3 linked regions of the Macaca mulatta genome follow. The protein of the gene in region 1 binds, or shares a complex with, the protein of each later gene. Links are inferred from orthologs where the notes say so. Each region holds a gene or a part of one and is shown in the gene's direction. Other genes may lie near its edges. The genes, in order: VIPR1, guanine nucleotide-binding protein G(s) subunit alpha isoforms XLas and VIP.

What was found.
Region 2: the proteins of VIPR1 (region 1) and guanine nucleotide-binding protein G(s) subunit alpha isoforms XLas are in contact, whole or in part, in a cryo-EM structure (PDB 8E3Z), measured with the Homo sapiens proteins. The link is inferred for Macaca mulatta from reciprocal best matches to the Homo sapiens genes VIPR1 and GNAS. Residues at the interface, in NP_004615.2 of Homo sapiens: Arg174, His178, Tyr239, Leu240, Leu243, Leu244, Ala245, Val246, Ser247, Phe248, Arg252, Leu319, Lys322, Leu323, Pro326, Asp327, Ile328, Arg329, Lys330, Ser342, Leu345, Leu346, Leu391, Asn392, Gly393; in NP_000507.1 of Homo sapiens: Gln35, His41, Val217, Phe219, Asp323, Arg342, Asp343, Leu346, Tyr358, Pro361, Phe376, Cys379, Arg380, Asp381, Ile383, Gln384, Arg385, His387, Leu388, Gln390, Tyr391, Glu392, Leu393, Leu394.
Region 3: the proteins of VIPR1 (region 1) and VIP are in contact, whole or in part, in a cryo-EM structure (PDB 8E3Z), measured with the Homo sapiens proteins. The link is inferred for Macaca mulatta from reciprocal best matches to the Homo sapiens genes VIPR1 and VIP. Residues at the interface, in NP_004615.2 of Homo sapiens: Glu36, Cys37, Val40, Ile43, Asn69, Phe90, Leu92, Phe93, Tyr118, Ile120, Asp125, Asp126, Asp132, Gln135, Thr136, Tyr139, Val142, Lys143, Tyr146, Tyr150, Arg188, Lys195, Phe200, Ser202, Glu204, Ser205, Gln207, Cys208, Met219, Phe222; in NP_003372.1 of Homo sapiens: His125, Ser126, Asp127, Ala128, Val129, Phe130, Thr131, Asp132, Asn133, Tyr134, Thr135, Arg136, Leu137, Arg138, Lys139, Gln140, Met141, Ala142, Val143, Lys144, Lys145, Tyr146, Leu147, Asn148, Ile150, Leu151, Asn152.

What each region holds. Positions count from the first base shown.
Region 1 is NC_133407.1:105,859,606-105,869,512, forward strand, and holds part of VIPR1 (vasoactive intestinal polypeptide receptor 1 precursor), read left to right. Parts: intron 1-464; coding exon 465-570; intron 571-5,930; coding exon 5,931-6,038; intron 6,039-9,907. UniProt on the Homo sapiens protein: G protein-coupled receptor activated by the neuropeptides vasoactive intestinal peptide (VIP) and pituitary adenylate cyclase-activating polypeptide (ADCYAP1/PACAP).
Region 2 is NC_133415.1:111,639,649-111,650,185, forward strand, and holds the start of guanine nucleotide-binding protein G(s) subunit alpha isoforms XLas, read left to right. Parts: upstream 1-4,249; 5' UTR 4,250-4,264; coding exon 4,265-6,395; intron 6,396-10,537. UniProt on the Homo sapiens protein: Guanine nucleotide-binding proteins (G proteins) function as transducers in numerous signaling pathways controlled by G protein-coupled receptors (GPCRs).
Region 3 is NC_133409.1:71,481,251-71,491,877, forward strand, and holds the start of VIP (vasoactive intestinal peptide precursor), read left to right. Parts: upstream 1-4,247; 5' UTR 4,248-4,412; intron 4,413-5,625; 5' UTR 5,626-5,635; coding exon 5,636-5,742; intron 5,743-7,621; coding exon 7,622-7,744; intron 7,745-8,717; coding exon 8,718-8,822; intron 8,823-9,576; coding exon 9,577-9,708; intron 9,709-10,534; coding exon 10,535-10,580; 3' UTR 10,581-10,623; intron 10,624-10,627. UniProt on the Homo sapiens protein: PHM-27 and PHV-42 are two bioactive forms from proteolysis of the same precursor protein, that cause vasodilation. PHM-27 is a potent agonist of the calcitonin receptor CALCR, with similar efficacy as calcitonin.

The sequences.
Region 1 (9,907 bases):
ATTCTTCCTGGGGCTGGCAGTGGAAACCAGAGGCCAGGATCCAATTCCACATAACAGAGTAATAGCACGAGCTGGCCCCACTCATCAGGGAGACCGAGACAGGGACAGACTCAAGCCAAGCTGGAGAGTGGCAGAGTCCAGAGGGCCAGCTCAGGCCTCTAAGGGGAGGCCCTCTTGCCACCATCTGGAGTTGTGCCACCCACAAAGAGACAAAGCAGTTATAGCTGCAGCACTATTGGGGGAGCCATCAAGAAGCTGTGGCAGGGTCCTCAGGGCCGACTCAGGTTTGGGGGCAATGGACAACAGGTTGGAGTCAGGTTCAGGTTTCAGTCTGGGGTTGGTATTGGGGTTCCATATGGAACTTGGATCTCTTCCAGGGAGAGGGCAGGTGCATCCAGAGACTGGGCCTGGTGCTCCCGAGTCTATGAACAAGGCTGATGGGCCCTCCCTGTCTTTGTCCCCAGGGCGGCCAGGCAGCCAGGCTGCAGGAGGAGTGTGACTATGTGCAGATGATCGAGGTGCAGCACAAGCAGTGCCTGGAGGAGGCCCAGCTGGAGAATGAGACAACAGGTGAGGCTCCCATGGGCAGAGGGGGGGCTGCATGCCCCCAGGGAGTCCACGATTCCTCATGTCTCGAGCTGAGATCCAAGTCACGTTCGTTCCACATTTGTTGGATGATGGTGAGGAGCGGCTGGGGAGCCAGATGGAAGAAGAAAGGGGCTAACAGGCTTCCACATTCCCACCCCAGGTCTGGGGAGCTCCCAGCTGCAGCTGAGGAGGACATACTAAATCGGGGTTCTGAAAAGTACATGGAGCCAACTCTGCCTCTGGGGGTCCCTATCCCTCTTCTCCAGGAAAAGTGAAGATCTCCATGGCAGCCAGCCCACCCGGGACACAAGGCCCAGCATGCTGCGTGGTGGGGGACCTGTGACCAATGAGGGTAGGCAGGTTCCAGGACACCCAGGAGCTGACATGGGGAGAACTAGCCCCATAATACCATACTCCAGGATTATAACATTGTACTGTTAGCATCTCAAAGGAAGAAGAGGGACATTCAGTCACAATATGTGACCCCCACAGGGACCGCATGGAAGCTCAAAGCCATCTTAGGGGTCCAGAGCAAGAAAGGGCATAAGTTTTGTCTGGACAGATGTGGAATACTCACCACAGCCAACACTCAGCCTGGAAACTTAGGCTCACTCCTCCCTCTCAACCCCAGGCTCTGCCTCTGCCACACCCAGAGGACCGATAGTGACGCCACACACATACACACACATACACACGTGCCCAGCCCCTAAGCATACACATACAGGTGCACACACTGGCTTCTCCATCCCAACCCACCCTTAGTGACCAGATGAACCATCAGCTCATTATTTGGTTGATGAGACCAGTCAAGGTCAGCCCCAGAGGCCCAGCCACTCTTCCTCAGGGGGCTGGGAGAGCTCCACCTGGCAGTGTGAAGGGTGGTGCCCAGCTACCTAGACTGGACAGCAGGGCTATCAGGACAGATGACAGCACCCTCTTTTTGGCTCAGCAGCTCCAGGTAAGAATGGGTGGAATTATTTGGTACCACTTGAACCAGACTTGGAGGGGTGAGCAGGTTTGGAGAAACGGAGAGTCTGGAAAGGTGGGAGGCACTGAGGCAGACTTCCTATGGGGAATGGGGCATGGATGGCAGGTTCAAGTCTTACTGCCAGGGACAGCAGCCTGGCACGTCTGGGCTGGAGGCAGTGAGATGGCTGGGCTCATTCTGGGCCTCCATCCCAGGCTATCTCCCTGAGGCTGAGCTTACACTTATGTAACAGCCTTGCTCAGGAGCAGGGAGCATCTTTACATCTTCCTGGCTCCCTAGTTCCCCTTCCACCTTCTAAAGCTGACAGTTATGTAACCCCTTCCAGGTCCCTCTTCTTGGCCCTGGTGTCCAGGCTGTCTGCCTCCTGCTCTGTCAGTGAGTAAGTGTAGCCTCACAGATGGGCTTTGCCTACCCTGATCTCAAAGCAGGACAACCCCTTGACTCTAGGGCCCAGAGACTGAGGCATGGGTCCAGGGGTGGCTGGGCCTGCCCACTACCTACAGGCCCCACCCCACTCCACCAGTGCAGGGAGCCAGGACCAGGTGCAGATAGGCTTTGGCAGGCCCCAACGGTGGGATCATAGGCAGCCCCGAGAGGCCCGGACTCTAGACTCCACTGCGCACCTCCCATGCCGAGGGGTAGGCCACCCTCGTGATTCCGATGAGGTCACTGCTGGCACAGCGTTCCCGTTGGGTGCCAACACCCTGTCACCAGCAGCCAGGCTGGGATGCAGAGAAGGGCGGGCATAGGTTGTGGCCATGAGTCTGCCTGTGGCCTTGTGTAGGGCTCTGTGCGTGTTCATGCACATCTAGGTATGTACTCCTGGCCCATGTCTGTCTGGAGCTGCGTCTTGCCTCTGGGGTCTATAGCTCTGTGTCTGACTGAGTATCTTTGTGAGTCAGAAGTGTGTGTCTATTTAAGCATGGGCACATGCCATCTGTGGACATGCCTAGGTGTGTCTGCCCAGTGTGCTGTGTCTCTGTGTGGCTTGTATGTCTATCAGTGTGAGTGTCAGTGGTACACCCAGACATGTCTGTCTCTCTGAATGTATGTCTCTGTGAGTTGTGTGTCTCTCTGTGCCCATTTGCTTGTGTCTGTTGCCTGTGTTCAGGTAAGTGTACATGTGTGCATGTTTGCATGTGTGCCTGGTGTTCTGTGTACTGGCATGTACACATCAGTGTGTGTATCTCTGTGTGCACACAAGTCTACAGAATGACACAGCAGAGACCCCACCTCACCTTGCCTCACCAACCCTTACCCCAAGCTCTGGGTTGGGCTTTCCTGGTGGGGGCACAGCCCCACCTGTGGGCACACACAGCCAGCCTGGGCCCTGTATTTCTATAGGCCTGGTGACATGTGTGATGGGACCTGCGGGGCCTCATTAGGGCAGGCACACAGGAAATATTCCCATTGCCTAGCCCAGGACAACAGGCCATTCCAGGTACCAAGTATATTCATGGCTGTCACCCCGTCCCCTGCTTCCCCAACCATGTCCCTCATATTAGCCTCTCGTCCTGCTTCCCTGCCCTGCTGGCTGCCCTCACCCCAGCACTAGTTCACAGCCCAGCCTTGGTCATGCTAAGATTCCTTGAGGCCAAGTGTGGCCTCCCAAGGGCAGGGCCTGGTTTCCTCTCTTCTGTCCCACCACAGTGAAGCAGAACTCAAGGCCAGAGACCCAGCCCCGGATTCACTCCCCAGCCTGTGCTGGCCGCCGGAGGTTTAGAGAGCCCAAAGTCTGGCAGGCACCCAGACACAATAGCCAGTCTGCATAACAGGGCGTGCCCAGCACTGTCAGAGAGGGGTAAACAAAGTCCAGCAGCGGCAAAATTCCCAGAGAAATGACAGCCCTTCCGACCGAGAGGAGTGGGAACATGTGAATATACTGTACCACTTACCAGCAACATAACCTTGAGCTGGTTGTCCAATCACGCTGTGCCTCTGTTTCCTCATCTGTGAAATGGAAGCGTTAAATAAGTCATTCATCCAAAGAGGTTAGAACAGTGCCTGGCACATGCAAAGGTTATATGAGTGTTTGCTGATATTCTTAACAGGGTCTGGAACCCCCAGCAGGGTTTGACTGACCTGAAGTGCCCCTACTCGGCTTTCAGAGAGGCTGGCCCAGAATGGAAGAGGGACTGGCAGCCAGCGTGAGGCCACAAGAGCCCTCAAGACAGGGAAAAGTGGTCAGGGTCCATGACTAAGGGAGGCTGCAATCTCTGGTCAAGCCCTGGGGATCCAGGTGTCCTCCTCAGGCTTTAGCTATAGGTGTGGCCTGACTGCTGCAGCCCCAGAAGGTGCCCCTTGCTGCTGCCAGCCCACTCCAACACACAGAGTCCTGAGCCTCTTCCCCAAGTAAGGATGTCCCTCCACCTCCTCTTCCCAGACCCCCTTCTTAAGAACTTGTGAACCTTCGGATCTGAGCTGGGCTGGGCTGGGCTTGGCCAAGCTGGCGTTGACTTTGGCTCAGGGGGTTGGGTTTTCTGAGCAAATCTATGGGACTGGCAGGATTGCAAAGAGACAATTAAGCCTCCTGCATGGGACGGGTCCAGAGCAGTCCTAGTCCGTCAGGGGCATGCAGCTCCTGAACAGACTAAATGATGGCATTTGCATGTGCCTATTAAAGCAGACCCCTGGAGACCCCACTGTGCATCTTTCACTGGCCAGGCTCTGCAAGGCTGATAGCTGTGGCAGAGAATGCAGCCACAATGGAGGGTTTTTGCTGAATTTGTTCCCTAACTATTCCCCTCCATCACAATTCACAATCCGACCACACTGGGGGAATCTGTGTTGTTCAAGAACTAGGTGTGGGCTGGGCACAGTGGCTCACGCCTATAATCCCAGCACTTTGGGAGGCTGCGAGGCAAGTGTGAATCACCTGGGGTCAGGAGTACAAGACCAGCCTGGCCAACATGACGGAACCCCGTCTCTACTAAAAATATAAAAATTAGCCGGGTGTCGCGGAGGGCGCCTGTAATCCCAGCTACTCAGAAGGCTGAGGCAGGAGGATCACTTTAACCCAGGAGGTGAAGGTTGCAGTGAGCCAAGATGGCGCCACTGCACTCCAGCCTGGGCAACAGAGCGAGACTATGATGGGGTGATGAGTATACTGGGGTGCATGTAGTTCTTTTTTTTTTGAGACAGAGTCTCAAAACATTTTCTAATGCCTCCTTTATTATCATAATATGAAATTCAGGACACACGCCCATCCACTTTATTAAAAATAAAGTTCTAGCTATACTGTAAGATAAATATTAAAAGGAAAGTAATTTATAATAAAGTATCATGTACATATTCAAGCATAATCACACTAGATGTAGTCTGAAGGTTGTACCTACAAATATAAATCCTGAGAATGCGAGGCCTACAAATGCAGACTGATGGACACGGGCAGTTGCATCAGTGACTCAAGTATCACAGGCAGTACTGCTATGGGTGTCATGATTTTCCAAAACATTGAACAACTCTTAGTGAAGTTCAGAACAAAACAAAATACAATCTTCCCTCCCTTTTCTCAGTGGCTGCATTCCTGGAAAACTCCATGTATGTTAAACTTGTGCAATAAATAGCTTGTGTTGGCTGGGCACAGTGGCTCACACCTGTAATCCCAGTACTTTGGGAGGCCAAGGTGGGAGGATCACTTGAGGTCAGGAGTTGGAGATCAGCCTGGCCACACATGGTGAAACCTCGTCTCTACTAAAAACACAAAAATTAGCCGGGCGTGGTGGCACAGGCCTATAGTCCCAGCTACTCGGGAGGCTGAGGCAGGAGAATTGCTTGAACCCAGGAGGCAGAGGTTGCCAAGGTTGCACCACTGCACTCTATCCTGGGTGACAGAGTGAGACTCCGTCTCAAAAAATAAGTAAATAAATAATAAAGTAAATGGCTTGTGTTTATATGTAAAATGGTATAAGAGTCTAGGCTCTGTTCATTACGAAAGGTTTTCACCTATACATATGGCCAGTGGCTCATCTGGAAGCCATGCAGAATGTGAGACAATTCATCATTGTGCAGGAGTTGCCTATCTGGCATCCCTGGTGGCTGCCCATCAAATGCCAGTGAGGCCCCCCTATTGCTGTAACAATCAAAACCACCACTGGCATTGGAAACATCCCCAGGGGGCGCTCTATCCCTCACTAAGGACCAAAGAACTGTAGTCAGGCCTCCTCCCTGCCTCCCTGTCAGGACAGGCTCCATGCAGCCTGGGCAAGCCTGTGCCTTCCCTCTCAGACTGGAGGCTCCTTGAGGTGGGAGCCCAGCAGAGGGAGGAAGAGAGTGGATGCCTATGACCTCAGGCCCCAGGGCTGGAGGCACCCGCACTGTGCTGACCCACGTGTCCTCTGCCTTACCCCCATAGGCTGCAGCAAGATGTGGGACAACCTCACCTGCTGGCCAGCCACCCCTCGGGGCCAGGTTGTTGTCTTGGCCTGTCCCCTCATCTTCAAGCTCTTCTCCCCCATTCAAGGTAAGACCCCTGGGTTGAAAAGGTGATGTGAGTGGTGCTGGCTGCCGTGGGACTCACCTCTCAAGGAAGTGGAAAGTCAAAGGAAAGTGGTCAAAGAGGCTGGAACAATCCGAGGGACTCCCTGGCAGAGGAGGCAATGGTGCCAGGTCTTTAAAGAACTCACGGGATTTGATTAGCTCTTCACATAAAGATAAGCATATGGGAAAGGCTCATTAAATATTTGCTCAACAATTGATGACTGATTGACTGACAGGTACTTGATTAAATTATGGTTCCCATAGATAGTCCTGTTGTCTTGGGCTCGTCATGATTCAGTCTTTCGATGCCTGGAGTCTATGACCTCTTGGGCTCCATGAAGCCACTACACGACTTTGCTTATACACCTTGTCATGTTCCACTTAAATGAATGTCCACAGAATGTCCACAGAATGAGGCAGAAAAGAAAAGGGGGAGCCCCTTTAGGATGTGGCTTTCTTGCTAGTGAGTCATTAAAGAGGTTTACAATATAGATTCAGTCATTCTTCTGTGCAGTGAATGAAGCACCCACCCGTGTGCCAGGCGCTGAGCTGGACAAACACAGTGGGGAGAGGATAAAGCAGCCCCCAGGGCTGCTCTTCCAGAGCTAGTGTTCTCATTGGAGAGACATTTCGTAAGGAAATAAACAGATGTATCATCAATAATAAAAAGTGCTGGACGAGAGAATAAGGAGAGTGGGGACCAACTTAAGGCAGAGGTTCACAAACAGTCCCTCTCTGAGGAGGTGACACTTCAGCTGCCATCTGAAGACCTGGAGGTGAGAAAGAGCCACGAGGCAAAGATCCCAGATTGGGAACAATTGAGAGAGAGAATCAACAGCCCGTGGAATAAGCATCCAAGGAAGCTCCATGAAGGCCAGTGTGGCTGGAGCAGGGAGAGTGCCGGGGAAGGAGGGAGGGGAGGGACAGGCGGGCCGAGGCCAGACCACACAGGGCCTTGAGGACAGAGGCGAAGACTTGAGTTTTTTCCTAAGTCCAGTGAGAAGTGGGGGGTTTTAAGCGGGGAACTGACAAAGTCCAATTTAGGTTTTTAACTTCTAACTGGTTTCTGTGAGAAGGAAGGATTCTAAGAGTATAAACAGGAAAACCCAATCACAAGGCAGGCAGGAAATGATGATGGATTGAATTCAGGTAGTGAGCTCAGTGCGGGAGAGAAGTGGGAGAGTTTATGGAGGGAATGGGCGTGACTGAGGCAGGGAGGAATCAAGCAGGCCCCACCCTAGGCTTAGGTTTAATGAGCCTTGGGGAAGAAAGAGCAGGACTGGGTGGGGAGCATGGAGGGAGGGGCAGGCCTGGGGTGGGGAGGACTCATGAGGAGCAGAACCTAGACAATTATTCAGAGAGCGAACAGAACTCATGTGTCTCTCACTCCAGGTGGCCTTTTCCTCCCTGGACCCCAGTTTCCCTGTTTGTAAAGTGGGGATGGGTGGTAGACCCCAGGGTCTCTTTGGGGTAAGCCGGTTTGCCCCCAAGTGACTGCTGTTGTGATCTCAGTGGTGAAAGACAGACCTTAAAGCCCTCCTGAGGAGTCTGGGAAGGTCACAGCCATGCCATATTCCAGGCCAATGCCCACCTGGCCTGGCCACCTCCTCCTGGGACACCCAGTGCCTGGGCAGATAACAATGAGCTCCTCTGGCAGGTTTCACAGTGCACGCCATCACTGAGCCTGGAAACCAGCCTTCTCTCTGATCCCTGGAAGCACCTGCTAATTGCCTTTCTCCCTGAGACTCTGCTAACTGCATTTCTCCCCGTGGCTCTTCCTTCTGTCCCTGCTGGAATGTGTCAAGGCAGCTCCTGCCCTTGAGAACCTGGACTCCAGCCCACCATCTAGCTAACCCTGAGGCTGCCGGCATCAATGGGGCCCATACGGTGCCTTTGAACTGACAAGAAAAAGTCAGTCCTTCCTCAGGCAGAGATGACCTCTCACTAGAGCCCACCTAGTGGCAAGCAGAATATGCCTACCAGCCAGGTGCCCTGTACAGTGAACAACTTACACAGCCATACTCTGTGGGCCTGGTCTCTGAAAATGGTGGAGAGAAATAGGAAACTGCGATTAGGGACTGAAAACAGAAAAAAGACGGTGTTCTCCTGAGCAAGTAGATTAAGGTATGGGCAACCGACCTGAAATTCCAAAGAGGGAAGTTTGCAAGTGTGGGGTAGGGATGATGGCAACACCAACTCACACCCTTTTAGATACAGACCTGGGAAGAAGTATACCCACAGGAAGGGACCTGGTTCTACAGGGAAAGCTAAAGAAAGCTTATAGAAGATAAAAATTGTGGAGAGTTAGAAAAAAGTCATCTACATAGGCTGGATAAAATACCTGAAGGAGGGAGTTTGGCCAGGCAAGGAATAGCTCATTAAGGCACCAAAATGTTCACGGTGGCTCACTTCTTTATTTTTATTTTATTATATTGATGTTTTGAGATAGGGCCTTGCTCTGTCACCCAGGCTGCAGTGCAGTGGCACAATCTTGGCTGCAACCTCCGCCTCGCGAGTTCATGCCATTCTCCTGCCTCAGCCGTCCCAGCAGCCGGGACTACAGGCACCTGCCACCACGCCTGGCTAATTTTTTCTATTTTTAGTAGAGACGGGGTTTCACCGTGTTAACCACAAAGGTCTCGATCTCCTGACCTCATGATCCTCCCGCCTCAGCCTCCCAAAGTGCTAGGATTATAAGCATGAACCACCATGCCTGGCCTCTACCTTCAAATATTTGAAGAGATATTTTAAAAAATAAATATGGGAGAGCCATTCTGGCTGAGAAAATTCGATGTACAGTCTATGTTAACCATGTCTGTGGGGTCTATGGGATACCTCCCTTCCCTCACCACCTGCATCATGATGCTATAAATAAGAAAACATTGCTGCCAGCCTAGGAAGCTCATCCTTGCTGACGGGGATGGGGCACTATGGCAGGGAATCAGGAGAGTTCCATGGCAGGGAATCAGGAGAGTTCCACAGTCAGGTCTGGGTGTTAGCATGATCCTTCCAGCTGTCTCAGGCTGTGGAGCTGACAGGAAAGCAGGGGGCTCCTACTTAATCCGGGGGAGATGAGGTGGTGGTGGTGCTGGGGAAGAAGCAGCTGGGAAAGGGCTGGTGACTGATGGGGGAGAGGGGGGAGAGGATCATTCCTCAATTCCTGGCTCCAGAAACTGAGTGGAGGATCCTAGGCACAAGCGGGGGCCATGACTGCTTTTTGAGACATAGTGAGTGGGAGGAGACTGGGAGAAAGGTGGACCTCGCCACCCCTCGGGTCGTCACAGCTATCCTGAGCTTGCTTAGGTGAGGCCCAGCCCAAGTGACAGGCCTCAAAGCAGACCTGGCAAGTGTCCCTCCCATGGTGGAGCCCAGCCTGGCCCAGGCATGCCCTGACGCCCCCACTGTCGCATGCCCTGACCCCTCCAGTGGGGTGTCCCTCCCAGCACAGGGTTAAAGTCCCTTGCTACCTCCCTCCTGCCCTTCATGTCCCCCTCTACAGATATAGGGCCTGCTGGTTTCCAGGCCCAGACTGGAGGGAGACTCTTGGCTGCTTCTTGGGATCCCATGGTGACTGCCATTTCGATCTCCTCGAGAGCGGCTTGCTATGAGGCCTTGACCACAGTCCCAGGGCTCTTCAAAGAGGCCACCTAGCCCCAAAGATGACCCATTGTCCCCTCCCTTCCTCTCCCTCACCATCTATGGCAGCCAGGGCTCCAGAAAACAGAGTGTCCTTTTGTCCACTGCTGGAGCCCAGAAAGATCTGGAGTCAGGCGGACCTTGGTCTGCATCTCAGACCTGCTGCTCCCTTGCTGTGTGACCATGGGCAAATCACTTAACCTCTCTTAACCCTGG
Region 2 (10,537 bases), on another chromosome or scaffold:
TCCTATTCAAATCTAAGGGTCCTTTCTCAGCTTATAGTGGTGATTTTCAACTGGGGGAGATTTTGCCCCCCAGAGGACATTTGGCAAAGTCTGGAGACATTTTTGGTTGTTAAAACTAAGGGGATGCTACTGGCATCTAGTGGGTAGAGGCTAGGGATGCTGCTCAACATCCTACAATGAACAGGGCAGTCACCACAACAAAGAATTGCCTGGCCCCGAATACCACTAGTGCAGAGGCTAAAACACCAAGTCTAGATAAAATGTGCTGAGTGGTTCTGAAACCCCTTCCTCTGGTGTGCTCCCATCTCTCCCTTCTGAGTCCTCCCTGCTCACTCCTGGACTGTATCCCTTTTTCCTGTCCACTGCACCAATTGTTCAAGATTCTGTTACCAAATGTATTTCTCCCCTAAAGAATTTTCTGACTCCATGAATTCATCTTTGTAAGGACGATTGCCAATTTGAATGTGTGATCTTTATCTTTTTCTAAATTTCAGACCTTCCCTCCCTAAATTTCAGATTTCCCTGCAAAAATCTCTATCCCAACTGCTCAAAGTTCCTTTAACTCTGCCATGTCTAAAACCAAATCAGCACTGCCACCTTGCCAGTCCCTCCCACTGACTTCCCTGTCCAACTCCCAGTGTTTCATCCATCTGGGTGACACACTTTGGCTCCTCCATTTTTTGTGTCTTTCTAGCAATAAGAGGTGCTCCAGGAGGATCCTTTGGGACCCCTCTTGAGTGTTATCCTTCAGCATTCCTGCTTCCTTCACCGTGCTAGGTCTCTCCTTTAAACATCTCCTTTGTGCATAACCCCTTTCCTTTGTTCTCTCTCCATCAGGATCATCCTCCATGCTGCTTCTGCCTTTCCTAAAAGTAGGCTCAAATCCTCACTTGCAGAACAAAAAACTTTCAATATCCTTTCTGTTTCCTGCCAAAATAGCCTTAAAGTGCTTGCTCTCATACTCCATGCCATCCTCAGAGAGATTCTATCTAATTTCTCCTGACTTTTCTCCCCCTGCTCCTGAAGAGCCAGCCAAGGTGGCCAGTTGTGTTTACCCAGCCACGCCCCATGTTTCTTACCATTATTTCCTTTGTTCGTGGTGGGCAAACTGTCTCCCATCCCCCACTACTACCTTCTATTCATAGCCAAGGCGTCTATCCTTCCTTGGAGGCCCATATAAAAAGCCATTTTCTCCACCAAGACTTTCAAGGTCCCCCCAAGTGGAAGTCTTTTCTTTCATTTTTATGCTGCTCTACTCCCTAGGATGAGGAATTGGTATTTGCCTAACCTTTTTTTTTTAATCACCTCGATGCATGTGCTCCCCTGGCAAAGAATCATAAGACCAGAAAGAATGAACAAAGGGGTCCCACAGACCCATGAGGGTGTCGAACAGAGACCCTGAACCCGTTCCTCGACAAATGGTGCTTTGGGGGTGAGCGCGAGGCCTGACGAGAGCAAACCACCCCTTCGGAGCACCCATCGCATTCTCCCTGGGGCTTCAACCCCAATGTCTACTGACCTTCCACTTGTGCAGGCTCAGCATCCCTGGGGCCTCAACTCCTTAGCCATCCTGGGCTGCTGCTCGCAGTAAGCCCTCTCCTTGTAGTCCTGGCCCTCTACCTCCCAGCCCTGGAAATCTTCTTGCTCCGTGCCTCTCCCGGCAGCGGCACCCCGTTGGCTAGGTTAGCCTGCCGCCATCAACGCACCCAAAGGTTGGCCCCTGGGACCCCACCTCTCCCCCGAGGCTCGGCAACCTGTGGCATGAGGAAGGGTGACCCCACGGCGCTAGCGGTCCTCGTGGTCTTCCAGGCCTAGCCGCCATACACCCTCCCCCCAACGACTTCCAACCACCCCAGCAGCACAACCTCTTCGGGCGTTCCAACGCGGCGCCCCCTATTGGACCTCCCACCCATATCCGGTTTCCGGTCTGACGCCCCCTGCTCATTCGCCAGGCAGCCGTGATTGGCATGACCCCAGCCCAATGGCTGACCCGGCACTGGGGTCGTAGGGGAGTGAGTTGGTGCTGGGACCCAGTTGGGCGGCGGTTCAGTGGATGCCCAAGTGGCTAAGCCGTTTTGTGTGGAGTTAGTTGGCCAAAGTTGGAATCAAAGTTCAGTGTTGACAGCTGGAAGTGTGTAGACCCATAGAGCTAAAGCGACATATCTTTGGGGGATCCCAAACGTTTACCGGGGTCCTACTGTGTTCGCCTCTTTCCATGCTGCGTGGCCACGTGGATGGTGGAAGCAGGGTGGGGGGGGGGAGGATGCGCGGTGCCTGTGGTACCCTGGCTCTAAGAGGGATGCGTTAGACTAGACGGTATCGCACCGTGCAGTGGTTCGCCCGCCTGCAGCTCCCATACAGCAGCCCGTGCTGTGCGCCCTGCTTGCTGCAGCCCGCCCTGTGTAACGCTCATCCAGCCTCTCCTCCCGCAGGACTCTGCAGGTCAGGTGACCCCCTGCCTCCTGCCCAGCTGCTCTGTGCCTAGACGTGGTTCACCAATCTGTCTTACTGGTGAGACCGACCTGATGCGCACCTGCCGGGTTTTACGTGACCCCCTAACAGCAGCTTTTCTCCCGGGCTCAAATCCCTCTGCAGACCCCAGACCAGAGCATAGCATGTGCACACACCAAGGTCACCAGGTGGTTTGGGTATTTACCTTTGGCTAGCTCTGAGCCCACCGCAGCATGGTAGCGGGAGCGCAGCTGCGCGGGCAACCGCCGGGTTTGTGGCCGGTTGGCGGGCTCAGTGCCGCCTCAGTAGGCTCTAGCAGTGGAAAACTAAAGCGACTACCCTAAGATACCCATAGCGAGAGGAGAGGGGCTGGAAGGGTGCTGGAGACAGGCTGTAGTGGGGCTAAAGGAGCAGACTGACCGGTGCTGCGGCCGGCACCCGAAGCAGCGAGCAGCGCACCTCAGCTGCGGTTGCCGCGCGGCATGGTGTTTATCTGTGGGTTCAGTGCCCACAGCGTTGTCCACTCTCGAAATCACCCTAAACCGGCCATAAACGCCAACCAAAATCCCCTTTAACCCTTCCCTAGAACCGCAGGACCTGCGAAACTCTGCGGCCGCTTTGTGGGGTCCCCCTCTGCGCAGCACACCCCCCACCCCTCCATCGGTGCCACCGCAGCTACTGCCTAGGGGGCTTTGCTCTTGGTGGTACGCACCCGAGACCTTCTTATTCCCCTGCGTCACCATCCACATAAACAAGGGAGCACCCTGCTTGCGCTGCGTGGGCCACTGCGGAGACCCCTAGAGTGTGATGAGGGTGGGGGCTGTTAAAGTGCTTTACCGGAGCCAACCTCAGCAAGCAACAAACAAAAGCAGTAAAAAGTACACCCAAGGCATTTAAAAAACAAATTGTGTGCTCGCATACTCGGCATCCCCTCTCCCTCGTCTCTCTCTGCTTCTCTGGTGGGCTCACGACCACCTGTCGCATCCCCACGCATGCCTGTGCCCCTTCTCAGGCACCAAAAGCCTTGCGCTCTGGACTAGGGGCTTGAGATCCGGAGCTGCCTGGAGGCTGGGGGCTATGACTCAGTGTTTCAGGGGTATCCTGGGGTGATGAAACCCTTCTTCAGTCCCCCCTCCCCCGAGGAGTCGGTTGGGTTGGGGAGGGAGGGTTTCAGCTCCTGTACTCCAGCGTCCCGAGGCCCACGTCTTGCGTCACGTGTCCCGCAACGCAGGAGAGCTTTCTCTGGCCAGGGGAGAAGCGAGGAGAAAGATTCCAAATCAGTCAGGGAGAGGAGTGGAAGGAGCCAAAACGTCCCTGCGAGGCCTGCGCTCGTCAGCCCCCTTACCCAAAGTCCCGGGCCGCGGCGCGAGGAGCAGGATTCTGGAGCTGGAGCCAGCTCGGCACTGGAACCGGCGTCCTCTGGTGGCAGCGAGAGAGCGCTACTGGCGATTTTCGGACCGAATCGGCACGCTCGTCAGATCCAAGCAGGCGGGACTGGCCTGGAGGAGAAAGAAAGAGAGAGGAGGGCATAAGGACAGACCAAGGAAGAGGGGCTGGGGGGCATACTGAGGGGATAAAAAGTGGCCAGAAAGGAGCCAAGACTCCACCAGCAACAATTGAGTTGCTTCAGCCTCAGTCTAGGGTTCCAGGCCTTGAAGCCCCCCAACCTCACAAGGGTTGGAAAGTGAGGCTGGTGAACTTTCCAGCTGGTACTTTGATTTAAAAATAATAATAATAATTTTTTCACCCTAGTTCGGTTGGGTGCTCCGTCTTACGGAGCCCCAAACTTATTTTGAGAGGCCGCCACCCTGTTATGGGCGTGCGCAACTGCCTCGACGGCAATAATATGTCAGGACAACGCGATATCCCCCCTGAAATCGGGGAACAGCCCGATCAACCATCTTTGGAGGCCCCAGGGGCAGCTGCCCCCGGTGCTGGGCCTAGCCCAGCCGAAGAGATGGAGACCGAACCGCCTCACAACGAGCCCATCCCCATCAAGAATGACAGCGAGGCCTGTGGACCCCCAGAGGTCTCCAGGCCCAACTTTCAGGTCCTCAACCAGGCATTCAGGGAAGCTGGAGCCCATGGAAGCTACAGCCCACCTCCTGAGGAAGCAATGCCCTTCGAGGTCGAACAGCCCAGCTTGGGAGGCTTCTGGCCTACACTGGAGCAGCCTGGATCCCCCAGTGGGGCCCATGCAGGCCTTGAGGCCTTCGGCCCAGCATTCATGGAACCTGGAGCCTTCAGTGGTGCCAGACCAGGCCTGGGAGGATACAGCCCTCCACCAGAAGAAGCTATGCCCTTTGAGTTTGACCAGCCTGCCAAGACAGGCTGCAGTCAACCTCTCTTACAGGTCCCAGACCTTGCTCCAGGAGGCCCAGGTGCTGCAGGGGTCCCCGGAGCTCCTCCCGAGGAGCCCCAAGCCCTCAGGCCTCCAAAGACTGGCTCCAGAGGAGGCTACAGCCCTCCCCCTGAGGAGACTATGCCATTTGAGCTTGATGGAGAAGGATCTGGGGACGACAGCCCACCCCCGGGGCTTTCCCGAGTTATCGCACAAGTTGACCGCGGTGGCCAGTTCGCGGCAGTCGCGGCCTCGAGTGCGGTCCGCCTCACTCCCGCCGCGAACGCGCCTCCCCTCTGGGTCCCAGGCGCCATCGGCAGCCCATCCCGAGAGGCTGTCAGACCTCCTCCTAACTTCACGGGCAGCGGCCCCCCGATGGAGATCTCCGGACCCCCGCTCGAGATTGGCAGCGCCCCCGCTGGGGTCGACGACGCTCCCGTCAACATGGACAGCCCCCCAATCGCGCTTGACGGCCCGCCCATCGAGGTCTCCGGAGCCCCAGATAAGAGAGAGCGAGCAGAGAGACCCCCAGTTGAGGAGGAAGCAGCAGAGATGGAAGGAAGCACAGCCGCTGATGCCGCGGAGGGAGGAAAAGTCCCCTCTCCGGGGTACGGATCCCCTGCCGCCGGGGCAGCTTCAACGGATACCGCCACCGGGGCAGCCCGTGCAGCCCCAGCGGATCCCGACTCCGGGGCAGCCCCAGAAGATCCCGACTCCGGGGCAGCCCCTGCCGCCCCGGCCGATCCCGACTCCGGGGCGGCCCCTGACGCCCCGGCCGATCCCGACTCCGGGGCGGCCCCTGACGCCCCGGCCGATCCCGACTCCGGGGCGGCCCCTGACGCCCCGGCCGATCCCGACTCCGGGGCGGCCCCTGACGCCCCAGCGGTTCCAGATGCCGGGGCAGCCCCTGACGCCCCAGCCGATCCAGATGCCGGGGCAGCCCCTGAGGTTCCCGCGGCCCCTGCGGCTGCTGAGACCCGGGCAGCCCATGTCGCCCCAGCTGCGCCTGACGCCGGGGCTCCCACTGCCCCAGCCGCTTCTGCCACCCGGGCAGCCCAAGCCGCCCGGGCGGCCTCGGCAGCCCCTGCCTCCGGGGCCAGACGCAAGCTCCATCACCTTAGACCCCCCAGCCCCGAGATCCAGGCTGCCGATCCGCCTACTCCGCGGCCTGCTCGCGCGTCTGCCTGGCGGGGCAAGTCCGAGCGCAGCTGCGGCCGCCGCGTGTACTACGATGAAGGGGCGGCCAGCAGCGACGATGACTCCAGCGGAGACGAGTCCGACGATGGGACCTTCGGATGCATCCGCTGGTTTCAGCATCGGCGAAATCGCCGCCGCCGAAAGCCCCAGCGCAACTTACTCCGCAACTTCCTCATGCAAGCCTTCGGGGGCTGCTTCGGTCGATCTGAGAGTCCCCAGCCCAAAGCCTCGCACTCCTCCAAGGTCAAGAAGGTACCCCTGGTGGAGAAGCGCAGACAGATGCGCAAAGAAGCCCTGGAGAAGCGGGCCCAGAAGCGCGCAGAGAAGAAACGCAGCAAGCTCATCGACAAACAACTCCAGGACGAAAAGATGGGCTACATGTGTACGCACCGCCTGCTGCTTCTAGGTAATGCGGCGGACTCTGCCTGCGGGCAGCAGGGCCGCCGGGGAACTGGGTAGGGGGTGGCAGGGCTGCCTGCTGGGGCTCGGGGCTCGACAGTGGGAGGAGGGGATCCAGCCAAAGGCGGGAAGAGCTTGCTAGAAAGTTCCAGGGAGGGACCCTAACTATGCCCTGGGAGCGGGAGGGGATCTTGGGTGGATTCGGGTGGCCGAAGTATATGCCCTCCAGGGAGAAAAGTGATGCCGAGCGACACTGAGGGTCGTTTCCGGCTGGACAGGCCAGCGCCAGCAACCGTAAGCTGGACAGGCAGGGGCTTTCAGGTGAGCCAGGAACTGCCGGGGAGGGCCCCGGGGCTCCCCTGGCTAGGCTGGTGGGGTCCATGGTGGGCTAGGGTCTTTGGGAAAGGCGCGCCCCCGCCTCGCCTGGCACGGCTGCTTGGACTCAGACAGCTTGTCGTTGGTGTGTGTTGGTGTCCATATTCTGTGTTCGCCTGTGCATGATACGCTAAAGTGTCTCCCGTTCCTATCCCGGCACCCCCAAATTACCCGGCGACTGTGTACTTGTACTTGGGAACGGGCTGTCTTGTGGTTTGCGTCATGGCGCGGGCAAAAAACTTTCAGTGTTCGCACACTCTGGTGGTACCTGCGCCCGGGCGCTCTGCGGTGAGCCGTGCGGAGTACGCGCGGGGAAGGTGGCGGGGCCTCCCGGGAAATAAGCGGGGCCCCTGGCCTGGGGGAGCGGGGGATCGCTTTTTGCCGGCCTCCGTAACCTTGTTCCTGTATGTCTTTCTCTCTTTTTCCTTTTGCGCTAAGCGTTTCCTCACTTCTCATTCGTTCGCCAAACCCTCCCGCCTTTACAGTTGAAAAACCAGACATACAGGTATCTGGGGCGCCCGGGGCTGCACACATCAGTGTTCAGTATTCTGCACACACTCAGCTCGCCTGGTCGGGGGATGGGGGAGAGGGGAAACAACCTGCTGTAGGCAAGTCTGAATCCCAAACCACGTGGGGGCTGGTTCCAAGGGGGTGGGCGTGGCTGTGTTTAAAAAATATGAAATAATTTTTTTTCCTAGCGAAGAGCCTGAGGTAAGCCAATTATTTTTACAAAGAGTACAGTAGGAGGGGCTTGGTTTAAAAAGATGGGGATATGTGTTGGGAGTGGAATGTCACCTTTGTGTTTGAAATGCAACTAAAATAAAAATTTTCCAAAAATGCGCTGAGTGTATTTGAAGTGTGTGGACAAAGTATGGCAAAACCGTGAATATGACTTGTGAAACACGTAAATGTTTGCATGTGAATTTTTCCAAGCAGCTTTAGCTGGGGGCAAAGAGGCTTGTCAAAGGTAAGGTCTTCTGCAAATTGGCTCTGGATACAAAAAATATATAAAGGTCTTTTGATTACAGAAGTTAAAAATCATGATATTCTCATCAGGAGGGTATTCTGGTGGCCTTCTACCTTCCCCCTCCTCTGCTCACATTTCCCCACCTCTTGGTGCCCTCCCCTCTCCAGGATCCCCCTCCGCAACCCACAGCAAGACCCTCTCCTGTATTTCCCAGTCTTTCCGTGGCCATTTCCAGTTCCCCACTCCCCCAGCCCCCCAAGACTTCTTAACTTCAAATCTGGGGCATTAACTATTTTTGCCACATTTAATCAAATCAGCAATTAGCAATGGTCTGAATATGTGGTTTAAATGAAAACTTTCAAACGAACTTCACAAGCTTAATTTTTACATTTTATTCTCTAAGACCTTTCAAGGGATTTCAAGATCACAGTTTTTAAGACTGTGCTACATTTGTTAAATATGTTAGAACTTGTGACGGTTTTTTATTAATGGCATTATTGGCATGTAACTATGCTACTGTGATGTGGCTCTCACAAATCACAATTTTAGATGTGAGGATCATTTTGTGTATGCCCATCCAGGTAGATCATAACATTATCATTTACCCAAAAACATATAATATGGTAGTTGTTTTAAATTTCAAATGTCTCAGCTACACTAAAGCTACCACACATTAAATGACAATGCGCTGGTTTCCCTGCAGACATCTGATTTTGCCATAACAGACCCATTTCAATATTCCAAGCACAGCTCAGATTAGTGTTTAAAATTTACCCACATTATTTACCATGGAAAACTGGTTGTAAGCAAAAAGAATTGGAGGTCATCCCCTTTCTGTATATATCCTGGGAAGCAAACCTATAAATTTGGGGTGGGAGGACACAAATAGGTACAGACAGGAGACCCAAGTGACAGTGTGCACCTGACCCCTAATTGTCAAATTGGTAATGTGCCTTACATGCAGGGCTTCAGTTGCCTCCTTTGTGAAATGAAGCTTTCCTAGCAGATCTCCACTAAGGAATGCTTTGCCATGATTTGAGTCTTCTATTCTTCCTGGGGGTGGGGGTGGAGGAGACACAGTCCACTTACATCAGGACTGGAGACTTATACCATAGATTGTGCAGCCATCAATCCTGCAGCAAACTGTCCATGTTTGGGACCAGTCTTAAGAACATTAGAAGTTTCCTTTGTCTCCCCTTATTTTGTCACCAGGAGTAAAAATTAACTTTAACAAAAGGAATATTTGGTAGGGTCACCTTGCACCTTGTCCTGGCTTTGTTCTTGGGTGCTGGTGGCCAAACACCTTTGGATGCACATAGTCCAGAAGATGGGCTGGTAAACCATGAGCCATGTCTAGCATAAGCCTGAAATACAATAGCCAGTGTTAGCTGCTAGCTGAAACTGTACCACTGCAGTTTGTCAAAGCAGGCTACAGTTTTTGACCAGGCTTCCTTTTGCAGAGGTGACGTACCTCCTCTGGACCTGAATTATTGATTAGGGACAGGGAGAGGAGGAAGGATGAGGACTTACTCACAGGTAGGACAAGACTTTTTACTAACTTTCTAGTCCCAACATATAAAACAAGACATCCATCCATACATCCCTACCACTGAAAATGTAGATCAAATGGCTGTCTTTTGATATGGCTGCTAATTTGTGACATGCAGATTCATCTGTTGCTTGAAAAATGTTTGTTTATGTGCTTATCCTTTCTGTTTGTATTGCCTGGACTATTTAATCTCATTACAGGGACTCTTAAGAAATAAGAGAGAGAGAGAGAGAGAGAGAGAGAGAAAGATAGATAGAAATCAATAATACGATTAAAATTCTAAAACATTTAAAGAGTTCTTTTTAAAGAAGCCTTTTTCTTCTTGCTCAACACTATCCACCAATAGACTGTTTCCATGTTTCTGTTACGTTTTAAAATAATTTTGGTGGCTTAAACATTTTTTAAAACTTCATTTAGGTGTGATTTCCTCCTTGTTTAAGAACTGAAGGGGGCTAATAGATCAGAGTTTCTTAGTATCTGCCACATTTATTAAAATTGTGTAGGCAAATGCTATACATAAGAAAGGTTATTCTGCTATGATGCTTTATTTATACAGCGAATCACAATTAATTGTATGATTATTTATTTATGCCACCAAGTGCAACAGTGATGCATTATATCCCATCTTGCAGAAGCGCCTTTTTATTTTTATTTTCTCTTTCTCTCTCTCTTTTTTTTTTTTTTTAACATACAGCCATTTTTCTGTATTCTAAATGCCTCCACTGAGCTTTTGGTATGGTGGGAAGGATATAGCCTATCAGGCCACAAAATTTTGGAGTCCAGATAGATTTATTATTTTCTCTTCTCAGTCTCCTAGTAAGATTCATGCTTCTCAAAGTCTGAAATTCTATCTTGGTTTTAATTCTTATAGATTTTTCTCAAAAAAAAATTTCCCATATAGGTAGATTAATGTTTAAAATTTACACACATTATTTACCATGGAAAACTGGTTGTAAGCAAAAAGAATTGGGGGTCATCCCCTTTCTGTATGTATCCTCCTAACTTGAAAAGGAAAATCTCACTGCTCTCAGTATTATTAGTAACCAGTAATAATAATATAATAACACATTCTGATTACATTTTTGTTTGGTTTGAAACGAAGTCTCGCTCTGTTGCCCAGGCTGGAGTGCAATGGCAGGATTTCTGCTCACTGCAACCTCTGCCTCCCAGGTTCAAGCGATTCACCTGCCTCAGTCTCCAGAGTAGCTGGGATTACAAACGTGTGCCACCATGCCTGGCAAATTGTATTTTTAGTAGA
Region 3 (10,627 bases), on another chromosome or scaffold:
CACATATGTAAGAGATGACATTGTGAAGTAGATAAAATTGGTTTTAAAATCTTCAATACTCTATTTTTCAACTTCCACATCCTAGTATTTTGTGTTCTTGTGATTTCTCTACAGCCTTCTTTTTGAAATCTATTTTCAGGAAATCATCTGATAAATACAACCCTAATAAAGTTCAAATGACTTGCAGCACTTACACATTATTCTTTCTACATCTAATTCGATTTGAAGCAAGAAAATTCTGAGACAAAGGAATAATTTTCTCTAAACTTCTCAGCATCAGTAAGTGGGACAGATAACAAGGTTCTGGAGTTAAGGGAGAAGTTGTCCTCAATCATATTTAGATCATTACTTGTTTTTCTTTATATTTGCTGATATAATTTTAGATTCCAGAATGAATTCTAATAGGTAACTTTAAAGGGAAAATTGACCTTTTTTGTAACATTATTTTCATCAAATCACTAATATGACAAGAATACAAAATCCTGAAAATAAATTCAAATTTTCTAAGTTAAAAGAATTGAAAGTGTTTATATATACTCTAATATATATGCTTTAAATATATAAACTTTTAATATGCTATACAAATATACGTTTGTATATACATCTTATGCAAATGTATACTTTTAGTAAAAGTATACATGTATATTAAATGTATGTATACATTCTGTATGTTATACATACATACATGTATAATATATTGTATAGGATATATTTATTTATGTATATATACATATATACAGCACATAATACATTATACATTAGGTATATAAAATATATATACACTAATGTGTATTTCCTAATACAAGTTATTGAAAGATACTGGATTTAAGAATATTAAAGCAAACATGTCATCTTAAATATCTACCAAAGAGGAGGATCTAGAGGATTGAAAAACGTTTTTTGTGAAAGACCAAATAGTACTTATTTTAACCTTTGAGAGCTGTGCAGTTTGTTGCAACTATCCAACCTTGCCGTTGTAGCACAAAAGCAACTATAGAGAATACATATATGATGAAATGTTTTATGTTCCAATAAAACTTTATTTGTGGACACTGATGTTTAAATTATATATAAGTTTTGGCCAGGTAAGGTGGCTCACACCTGTAATCCCAGCACTTTGGGAGTCTGAGGCGGGCAGATCACTTGAGCTCAGGAGTTCCAGACCAAAACTTGGCCAACATGGTGCGCACCAGTGATCCCAGCTACTCTGGGGGCTGAGGCACAAGAATCGCTTGAATCCAGGAGGCAGAGGTTGCAGTGCACCAAGATTGCACTGCTGTACTCTAGCCTGGATGGCAGAGTACATGAGACTCCATCTCAAAATAAAATAAAATAATAAAATATAATTGTCATGTGTCACAAAAAGTTCATTTAATTTTTTTAACCATTTAAAAATATAAACACCCTTCTTAGCTTGAAAGACATAAACAAACAAAAACAAATTAATGAAGAAACAAACAAACAAAACCCAGAGGGGTCAGTCTATTTAGCTCACAGCCTGTAGTTTCCAGACCTCTGATCTAGACTCACCCACTCAGGATTACCATGGTAGACACTGGCTAGGTCTCAGGACTGGAGGTGAAACAGGGGAAATTAGGCAGATAAAACCATCATACAAAGAGGCAGAAGAGCATAAGCTTAGGCATTTAATCCATAAGAAGAATATGGACCCTCTATTAGCATATTGCACTAAAGAAAAAAAGGCAAATTTGGATTTCTGCTAATATCTTGAGCTTAAAAATCCCTTCCATCTAATTCCCTTGCATCCACTACCTTTGAATTTAGAATGCCAGTTTTATTTCCCTGCTCTTGGTTCTGTTGGTGAAAAAGAGGAGAGGAGAGGCCAATATTTTTATGAGCTGTCAATGTCCATATCTGACCTGCTAGCATCAAAATGGTGATAGTAACAATTACAGAATATTACCAATTCTAAACTGAAGGAGTGCTGACTCAAAATCAGACAGTCTATCTTCCAGTCTCGTATTTATTATTAACCACCTGAGTGGCAAAAATTACTGAAACTTTCTGGAGATCAGTTTACTTATCTGTAAAAGAAGGATCTTGAAGATTTTTCTACCCATACAAATGAATTATAGTTCCCCTTATTACAAACACCACTTTACTAAGAAGGCGTAAGGCAAAAATAAACGTTGCCAGAAATGTAGGCAAATTATGGAAGAATATGTCAAAGTACGGAAAAGACAGATTTAAAGAGCAAATTCACATTTGTATTTTTGTATTTATTTACTAAGTTTTATGGTAACCGAGAATTCAGGATAAATTCAACTGCAGTACTTTTTTTTATGTTTATTTTTTCTGTAAGCATCCATAAGTTAAGCCGGTTAAAGGACCTCTGGTTTACAATTCATTTCCTTGAAAGAAAAGAAAAAAATAAACACAATTTTATAAAATCTGTGAATTAAAACTTTGAACCTGCAGATGGTGCTATGGTTCCATTTTCAAATTGTTTTGCTTTCTAGTTTAAATTTGTAAGAGAAAATGCAGTTCTTTAAGTTTACTTTTATTCAGAGGTAATAAAATTGAATTATTTCTTTTTATTTTAGTTTATTATTATTATAATAGAAGCAACTGTCTTTTCTATTGAAAAAAGCCACTATAGTTACTCTTTGTAAATGCTAAGTGCTTGCCTAAGCCAAATAATAATCAGCTTTACATCTTTTATGTTTAAAATTTTTCTTCTTATCATTCAGCAGTAATTTGTCTGTGACCCTCAATTAAGTTGCTTTGCCGTTGCTGCTCTTAAATAAAATTGATTCACTAAGAATTGGGTGATGAAGAGCTAAGGATAAAAAAATTCCATATGAGAGCCATTTCAACCTCTAGTTTGTAATAATCAGGTAAAAAAAGATTTCCTGGAATTAAGCCACAGGAACTCTGGCTTAAGTCAGAGCTGTCAACTGGGAAACAAATTTCCAGACATTTTGAAATTTAATTCATTTAATTTTTCTGGTAACTGGATTAGAAAATATGATTAAGCATAGCAGGATAGTCTTTTACTGGATCAGTCTGACTTTGAATGAAGCAAATAGATACTAAAATCTTAAAGTAGAAGAAAGAGGACTGTAAAGTCATTCTTTCTTATGAAACTTACAAACAAAATGTAAAAATAATACACATGGCAGAAATTCTTTAACACAAAAGGAAAAATGACATTTTACTCTGTTGTTTAGGAAATTTTTCATGTGGCTGCATTTTTTACCTTAAACTCTGATTGAATGCGTACTAAGCTACCTTTAGTTACAAATCCACAAATAGCAGTGAAGTATTTATCAAAGGACTACATAAATGTTTTTCAACTAATTATTTGAAGCCACCTGTCAAGTGATTGAATCAGAGATGTTCCAAACTGGTTTGAGTATGTGTGTGTGCATTGGGGGTGAGGGTAGAAAACTAATTCTACATTATGCAAAGACTTATATAAGTGATGAGGAAAACCTTTAAAAAGAAAAGATAATTAAATTCCTTGAGGTATATAGTCTGACAACAATTTATTTTTTGGATCATTTGACACAGTGTATGTAAAAGTGCATTGGGAATTGTGCCTTTTTATACAAATACGAAATAGCACTACTTCTACTGCTTTCTATACAAATATGAAATAGCACTACTTCTACTGCTTTGTACAACAGCGTGTATATCTTACTATCTTAGAGACTTTCTGAAACATTTATCTTGGGATTAGTTTCAACAAAAAGGAAATGTAATAATAGAAAGGTGAAAGTTATCTCTAGAGCTTTTAAAGTTAGGATAGATTTCAAGAAAGATTAAATCTGGATCTATATGAATAGCATACAAATTAAAAATATTAACAGAATTGATATTAGGTAATAAAGTATAATTACACATTTATAAGCATAATGAACATAAGTGTTTGTTGCTTTCTGCATTTGTTTCTACACATGAAGTCTTTATTTTCTGAAGGAATCCCAGTGGCCATGGCTATAACACTACAATCATTTTCTTATTTCACTACAATTAAGTAAAGGTTAAAACATTTCACATTGAGCTTGCTACTTTGTTTGTTTAAACAAAAGTAAATTTCCTCTTATCTTACATCTTGAAGTTACTCACTATAAACTTATATAAATTAGACATAATGACAATTAAGTAAGAACTTCAAGCACTATTCATCCCATGGCCGTCATACTGTGACGTCTTTCAGAGCGCTTTGTGATTGCTCAGTCCCAAGTATAAGCCCTATAAAATGATGGGCTTTGAAATGCTGGTCAGGGTAGAGTGAGAAGCACCAGCAGGCAGTAACAGCCAACCCTTAGCCATTGCTAAGGGCAGAGAACTGGTGGAGCCTTCCTCTTACTCCCAGGACTTCAGCACCTAAGACAGCTCCAAAACAAACCAGAACAGGCAGCTCCTGGGGAGCACGAGTGGGCAAGGTAAGTGAAAACTTTACCTTTCCTCTTCTTTTTCCCTCCTGCCTCTGAAACTTTTCTTACAACATACTGAATTTTTCTCTCTATTGAAAAGAATTTGATAGTGCTCTGCTTTTGCAATAGCAAAAAGACAAGTTTCTCAAGTCACCTGGTAAGGATAGAAATACTTCAATTTCTCTCATATAGATAGATTTTCTGAATTCTTTTGTTTGTAAGATGCTTTACTCTGCTTGCTCTTTTACTGAATACTGATTTTCAAAAATAATTCATTCAAATCAAGTTTACTTGTATGTAGATTTTTGACTGAAAATTTCAGTGGGCACATTTGCTTTTGAAATTTTCAACTTATTTTTACACTGCTTTTTTTTTTCCTATTTCATATGTTGGTTAGGTGAATCTAAGATGCATTTAATTTTTGCCTTAAGTTTAAATTTTGTAATTTTTATAGGCAGCAAGAGAAACAGACCTTGAACTCCTAAATTTTTAATCTAGAAACTAGAAATGAAATGTGTAAGTTGATTAAATGCAAGAAATGCAAGTTTTGCTTTTAACATATATTTTCCTTTGATGGAAAAATTCATTTCAGTGACAATATATGATTCAGTGATATTTTGAGTATTAATATTCACTACTGAGTTAAGATGTTCAAATTCAGGTGTAAGGAAATAAGTTTCCAGTAATATCTACAATTGAAAGAGGAAAAAGTAATGTAGATCCAAAATCTTTTAAAAAATTATATGTATATATACATATTATATTTATACATTTGTACAAACACGAGCAGAAGAATTATTAAATAGATGATACCCCAGTCTTATATTAATCAGATACTGAAATCTTAAAGCGAAGAAAATCAATGTCTTGAAGCTGTTTCCTTCGTCAAAAAATACACTAAGCCTGGGTGGTACAGCCCTGTTATGAAAAGATTGTCCCCAGGGTTATTTCCAGCACTATAGAAGTATGGCATTCAATAGATACTGGGGCCAACCATGTGCCCAGACAGCAGGTGAAAAGGATTCTACTTTTTATTCAAGTACCTGTCACTGAGAGAAATATTGATTTTTGAATGTATCATCTTGCAATTTATCTCTTTCTACAAGAGGAAAATTACTCTTTACAAACTCTTCAAGAGCCATTGAAAATTACTGCTAGGCACTCAGAATTACCTTGCTGGTGACATCTGTGGTTGGAAGAACTAAGGTGATTCTCTCTTTAGAGGCACAGAAATGGACACCAGAAATAAGGCCCAGCTCCTTGTGCTTCTGACCCTTCTCAGTGTGCTGTTCTCACAGACGTCGGCGTGGCCTCTTTACAGGGCACCTTCTGCTCTCGGGTAAGCTCCCTTTCAATTCAGACATCTGAGCATTCCTTCTTCATCTAAATGGGAATTTCCTATATGTTTTGTTGGACAACTGAATAGTATAAATTATGTATTATTAATTTACATTTTTGCTTGATGTGTTGAGTGAGAGGTCAACGTCAGGTCATTCTGAATCCTGGAATTCACTTTCAGGGCATGAGAGACACTGTCAGTGATTAGTTTTATGGGCTGAGTGGATCACATTCCCAAACATGGTGAAAGGAGGCTCTGACTTTCTTTTTATTCAACACCAATTTTAGATGAATAATAAGCTTTTATCCATTGTTAAGTCAGTTCAATTTCTGGTGGAGAAAAAGCAGTTTAGTTGCCAACCACATTTTAGTTTATTTTTCAAGATTAATCAGTAAATAATCATAAGATTAGCAGTTGATTAGTGAAACATGTATAAAATCATGTTGCACAGAAATCTATCTAGGCAGAGTCAATTTGCCAATATTAAATATGAGGTAATTGATCTATTGAGATACACTCCCCCAATGGGTAAATTTTGATATACTTTGAACCATAAATCCTTAGTTTTATTGTTCTATATGTTATATTATGTATTTCAAATCTAGAAAGTATAATATAACTCATATTTAAAACTTTCTTAATGTATGCTAAAGAAGTAAACAGTAAATGAAAACTACATTAGCTTGAATTTTTCTTTTCGGTTTACGGGCACCGCTATATCTCCAAAGGAAAAATAATAATTCAGTTGGTTTTTTTTTTTTTTTTTTTGCTTATTTGCTCATTCTTGATTTTTTGATTAAGGTAGACTTATGCTCAATAGAGAGAATAACCTCTTAGCTATTAGTGTTCTCTGTGAAATTTGTTTAAATACAGCTCCTGTGTTGCTTCGATAACTAAATAAAATGGTTTCATCTGAAGTTCTATCACAGCAGATGAACAATCATAAGAATGCTGACATTTCTGTTGATTGCTAAGCTTCAGACCCACAGAGGACTACTTGCTAGTGACTCCCAACTCCCAAATCACTGAAAGATACGCAGTGTCCAGGAGCTGACACACTCCTTGGAGGTTTGCCCTAACAGTGAAAATCTGTACACACAAAAGTATAAGAGTTGTCAGTAATTGAAATATGCAGGCATCTACAAATATAGTCGTATTCCATGTATGCATATGACTATTCTTAGTCCTTCAGTGTAACATTGTACATCCCTTATTAAAGTTGTGTTAATACATAAGATTAGAAACCGGAAGGTCCCATAAAATTTATTGAATTCAAATTCATCTTCATAGATGAGCTATTCATCTATGGAGACATTATTTGAATTTTGCCAATACAGAGAAATATATCATGCCAAGGTAAATGTTTGAAGCAAAGCTTGAGGGTCTAGAGAGAGAGAGAAGCAATTAATATTCCATTCTTCAGAGATGTTTGGAACAGGTGATACTGAACATCACCAAATACATAAATTGTTACCAGTTTTCATTCAGTATTAGTTTTTTCCAAGTTTCTATTTTGCATAAAATCTTTCTACATGTGAAATTTGACTTTGCAAAGTGAAGATATTCTTGGCATAGTAAAGTACACCAAAGAAGTATAGTTTGCTTAATGCTTCGATAAGATTGAATTAAGTAGCTCTTACGTTTTGTATATTCAGCTTATAAAAGTCATATGACATCTACTTTGTAGGACAATAGGAATTTCCTATTTATGCTCTCATTAACTATGTGAGCCATTAAGTCAAATTATGTTATTCTCATATTGTGACTGGGTAATACTTCCCAAGAGTTTAAGTATCTTATTTTAAATGGTTGCGGAACCGCTCGCACTGTCTTCTGAAAAAGGAATGTATTATACTTCTCGTGTAACCTTCCCTATCAGGTTGGGTGACAGACTACCCTTTGAGGGAGCAAATGAACCTGATCAAGTTTCATTAAAAGAAGACATGGACATCTTGCAAAATGCATTAGCTGAAAATGACACACCCTATTATGATGTATCCAGGTGAGTTTATTTTTTATAAAACTATCCAGTGAGTTTTATTTTAGCAAATGTATTTAAGAATTACAAACGTGCTAATTTTATCTCACCACGAAGCTATTCCAATAGCAAAACACTAGAGGTTTCCATGTGTCATGGCTTCATTCATCCTGATTTATTGCAGCTCTTACAGCTGTACATGATTTTCATACTGAAAGGTTGTAACAAGCCAGGATGAACACATCATTCACTTCCATTCTGTTGCACATAATTACAACATTACAGATTGTACCAATTCTGATAAAACTCCAGCATTTAGCATTCCAATGATGAAGAGTTGCTGAGGAGTTTTGTCTCTATATAAAGAAAAGGTATCTGATAGTTAGAGCTGATAGAACTGCTTGTCTGAGCATCATTTCAAGTACAGACCAAGTAGCTCTACAGGACTTGGTATAGACAAAGTATAAAAGGTTCTTCATTTGAAAGAGAAAAGGTAGAATGATAGGCTTTAATGCCTTCTCTATCTTAAGAGGTATTGTTTCCAAGTATTTTGGAAAAAGAAAAAAAAAAGCTATACTGGGGTTTATGAACTTTCCAAAATCAGAATATTTTCCCATTGTGTATGTCTTTATTCAGTGGGGCAGACACAAAGCACCATGTACAAATAGCAGCCTATTTAAATAGATCATATTTTTACACCAATATTTCTTAGAAAAAAGTAGTTATAAAGATTCAACCATGAAGGAATATTGAAATGTGCTTCTAGAAATGCCTGTTTCTTTAATTTTTCAGTGTCTTGGGCTAGAAATACAGGGTATATCTTGATATAAGTGACTAGATCTCTTTTGTTAGGGAGTTAAGAAATCTCCTTTTGAACTTTAGTTTTAATGAGAAGCTTTCATAATAAACCCATAATTTTTTGTTATTTAATGAGCCACAATAATATTCTAGAAAGCCATTTACAAAATAATAGCTATTTTTTTCTTCCTTGTTTTAGAAATGCCAGGCATGCTGATGGAGTTTTCACCAGTGACTTCAGTAAACTCTTGGGTCAACTTTCTGCCAAAAAGTACCTTGAGTCTCTTATGGGAAAACGTGTTAGGTAAAGAAACTTATTATTTTTATAAAATGTGTTCTTATTCAACCTGAATATTGTATTTTCACTCTTAACAAGCTATTTACCTTGTTTGAAATTGAAAACTCATTGATAATGTTTAATTTAGTTAAATGAAATAACTTGTATTGTTCAATAATATCTATCAAGCCCATGGATTAAGACTTTTTCATAATATCGTACTCATTGACTCCAGACACACGTTTTTCTCAAGTAGCAATCGTTTACCAATCTGCAATCAAATTGAACAAGACTCAGTAAAACAATCAAGAAGACATAGAATAGACTGAGGTAAATGTTAAGGTCAACCATAGAATATTCCTTTTACTTCCTGCTCAAACTAAATGGAGAATGCCAAATGGTTAACAGTCAAATATTTAGATGACGTTGCTCAGGGTAGCATAGCTTCTAAAGAAGTAACTATGTTTTTTTAAAAAGGTTTTCTCCCAGTGGCAGAGCACAACTTCAGCTATCCCCAAATTTTTATTTTTGGATGAATTTTTTGCTCAGCTGTACAGAATGTGTCATAAAACATTCCCAGGTCGTGCCAAAATATGACAGATGATTCCTTGCTTCGCCTTCATCCTTAGGTTCAGTTGTATTTTTCTTTCAGTCTTTTTATGATAGAAAATTAGTTGGCCGTGGGAATTCCTTTTTATGTGGCTCCAAAAAACTTGGAACATGTGTGTATTTATCATTTCTTGTGAAAACTCTTTGATTTCCTTTTCCTCATGTTCCTTAGCAGCAACATCTCAGAAGACCCTGTGCCAGTCAAACGTCACTCAGATGCAGTCTTCACAGACAACTATACCCGCCTTAGAAAACAAATGGCTGTAAAGAAATATTTGAACTCAATTCTGAATGGAAAGAGGAGGTAAAGAAAAAGAACTTGCTAAAATGAGAAATCATGACTGACTTTCAAAATAGAAGCTGCACATGAAGACCTCTCTATCTCACTATCTATACCACATGAAGCAGTGATTCTCAACCTTGGCTGACATTAGACTACCCTGCAGAACTTTAAAAATACCGATGTCTGGGCCTTTCCCCAAACCAATTGCCAGGAAATCAGTGTCCTCCGTGGTGTGGCCCTAGGCATTCATTTCTTTTAAGAGTTCCCCAGTTGACGTTACTGTGCTGCCAGTGTTAAAAATGATGACTATAGAGACATCTAGTCTGAATCTAGGAGCAAGTTTCATCAAAAGTGATGATTTTTAAAACATGTAAAGCATAGTCAATTGCAATTTGGTAACATGTGAAACTCACTTCATGTGCATATTCAATACTCTTATTTAATCAAATTAAACCATTAGGTATTTTGTATATTTAGATTCTGTAAAATCGGTATCTCTCTGTGGTGTGTAAACATCGGACACAATACATAAACAGTGTAGTGTTCTGTCTTTTTATTCCAATTGTTTTTGTTTAAATGATGAGTATTAAGGATAATTCTGTTTGGGTGTGATCAGACAAGATGACTTTCTTTGCCCATTACAGATGATAATTCTGTAAGAATAATTTTAGAAACTCTTAAGATGGATAAATAATTCATAGGTACTAACAAACTTCAAAGGTAATTGTTTAGCCCCCAATACACTTTCAGAGCACAGAGAACAGCACAGCCATTATGTCAAAATAGTTTCTTTAGAACCTTTCTCATCTGAGAGCCTTAATATGCACAATGTTTTTCTGCTCTGCAGCAGTGAGGGAGAATCCCCTGACTTTCCAGAAGTGCTAGAAAAATGATGAAAAAGCCCTTTGGAGCAAAGCTGATGACAACTTCCCAGTGGTGG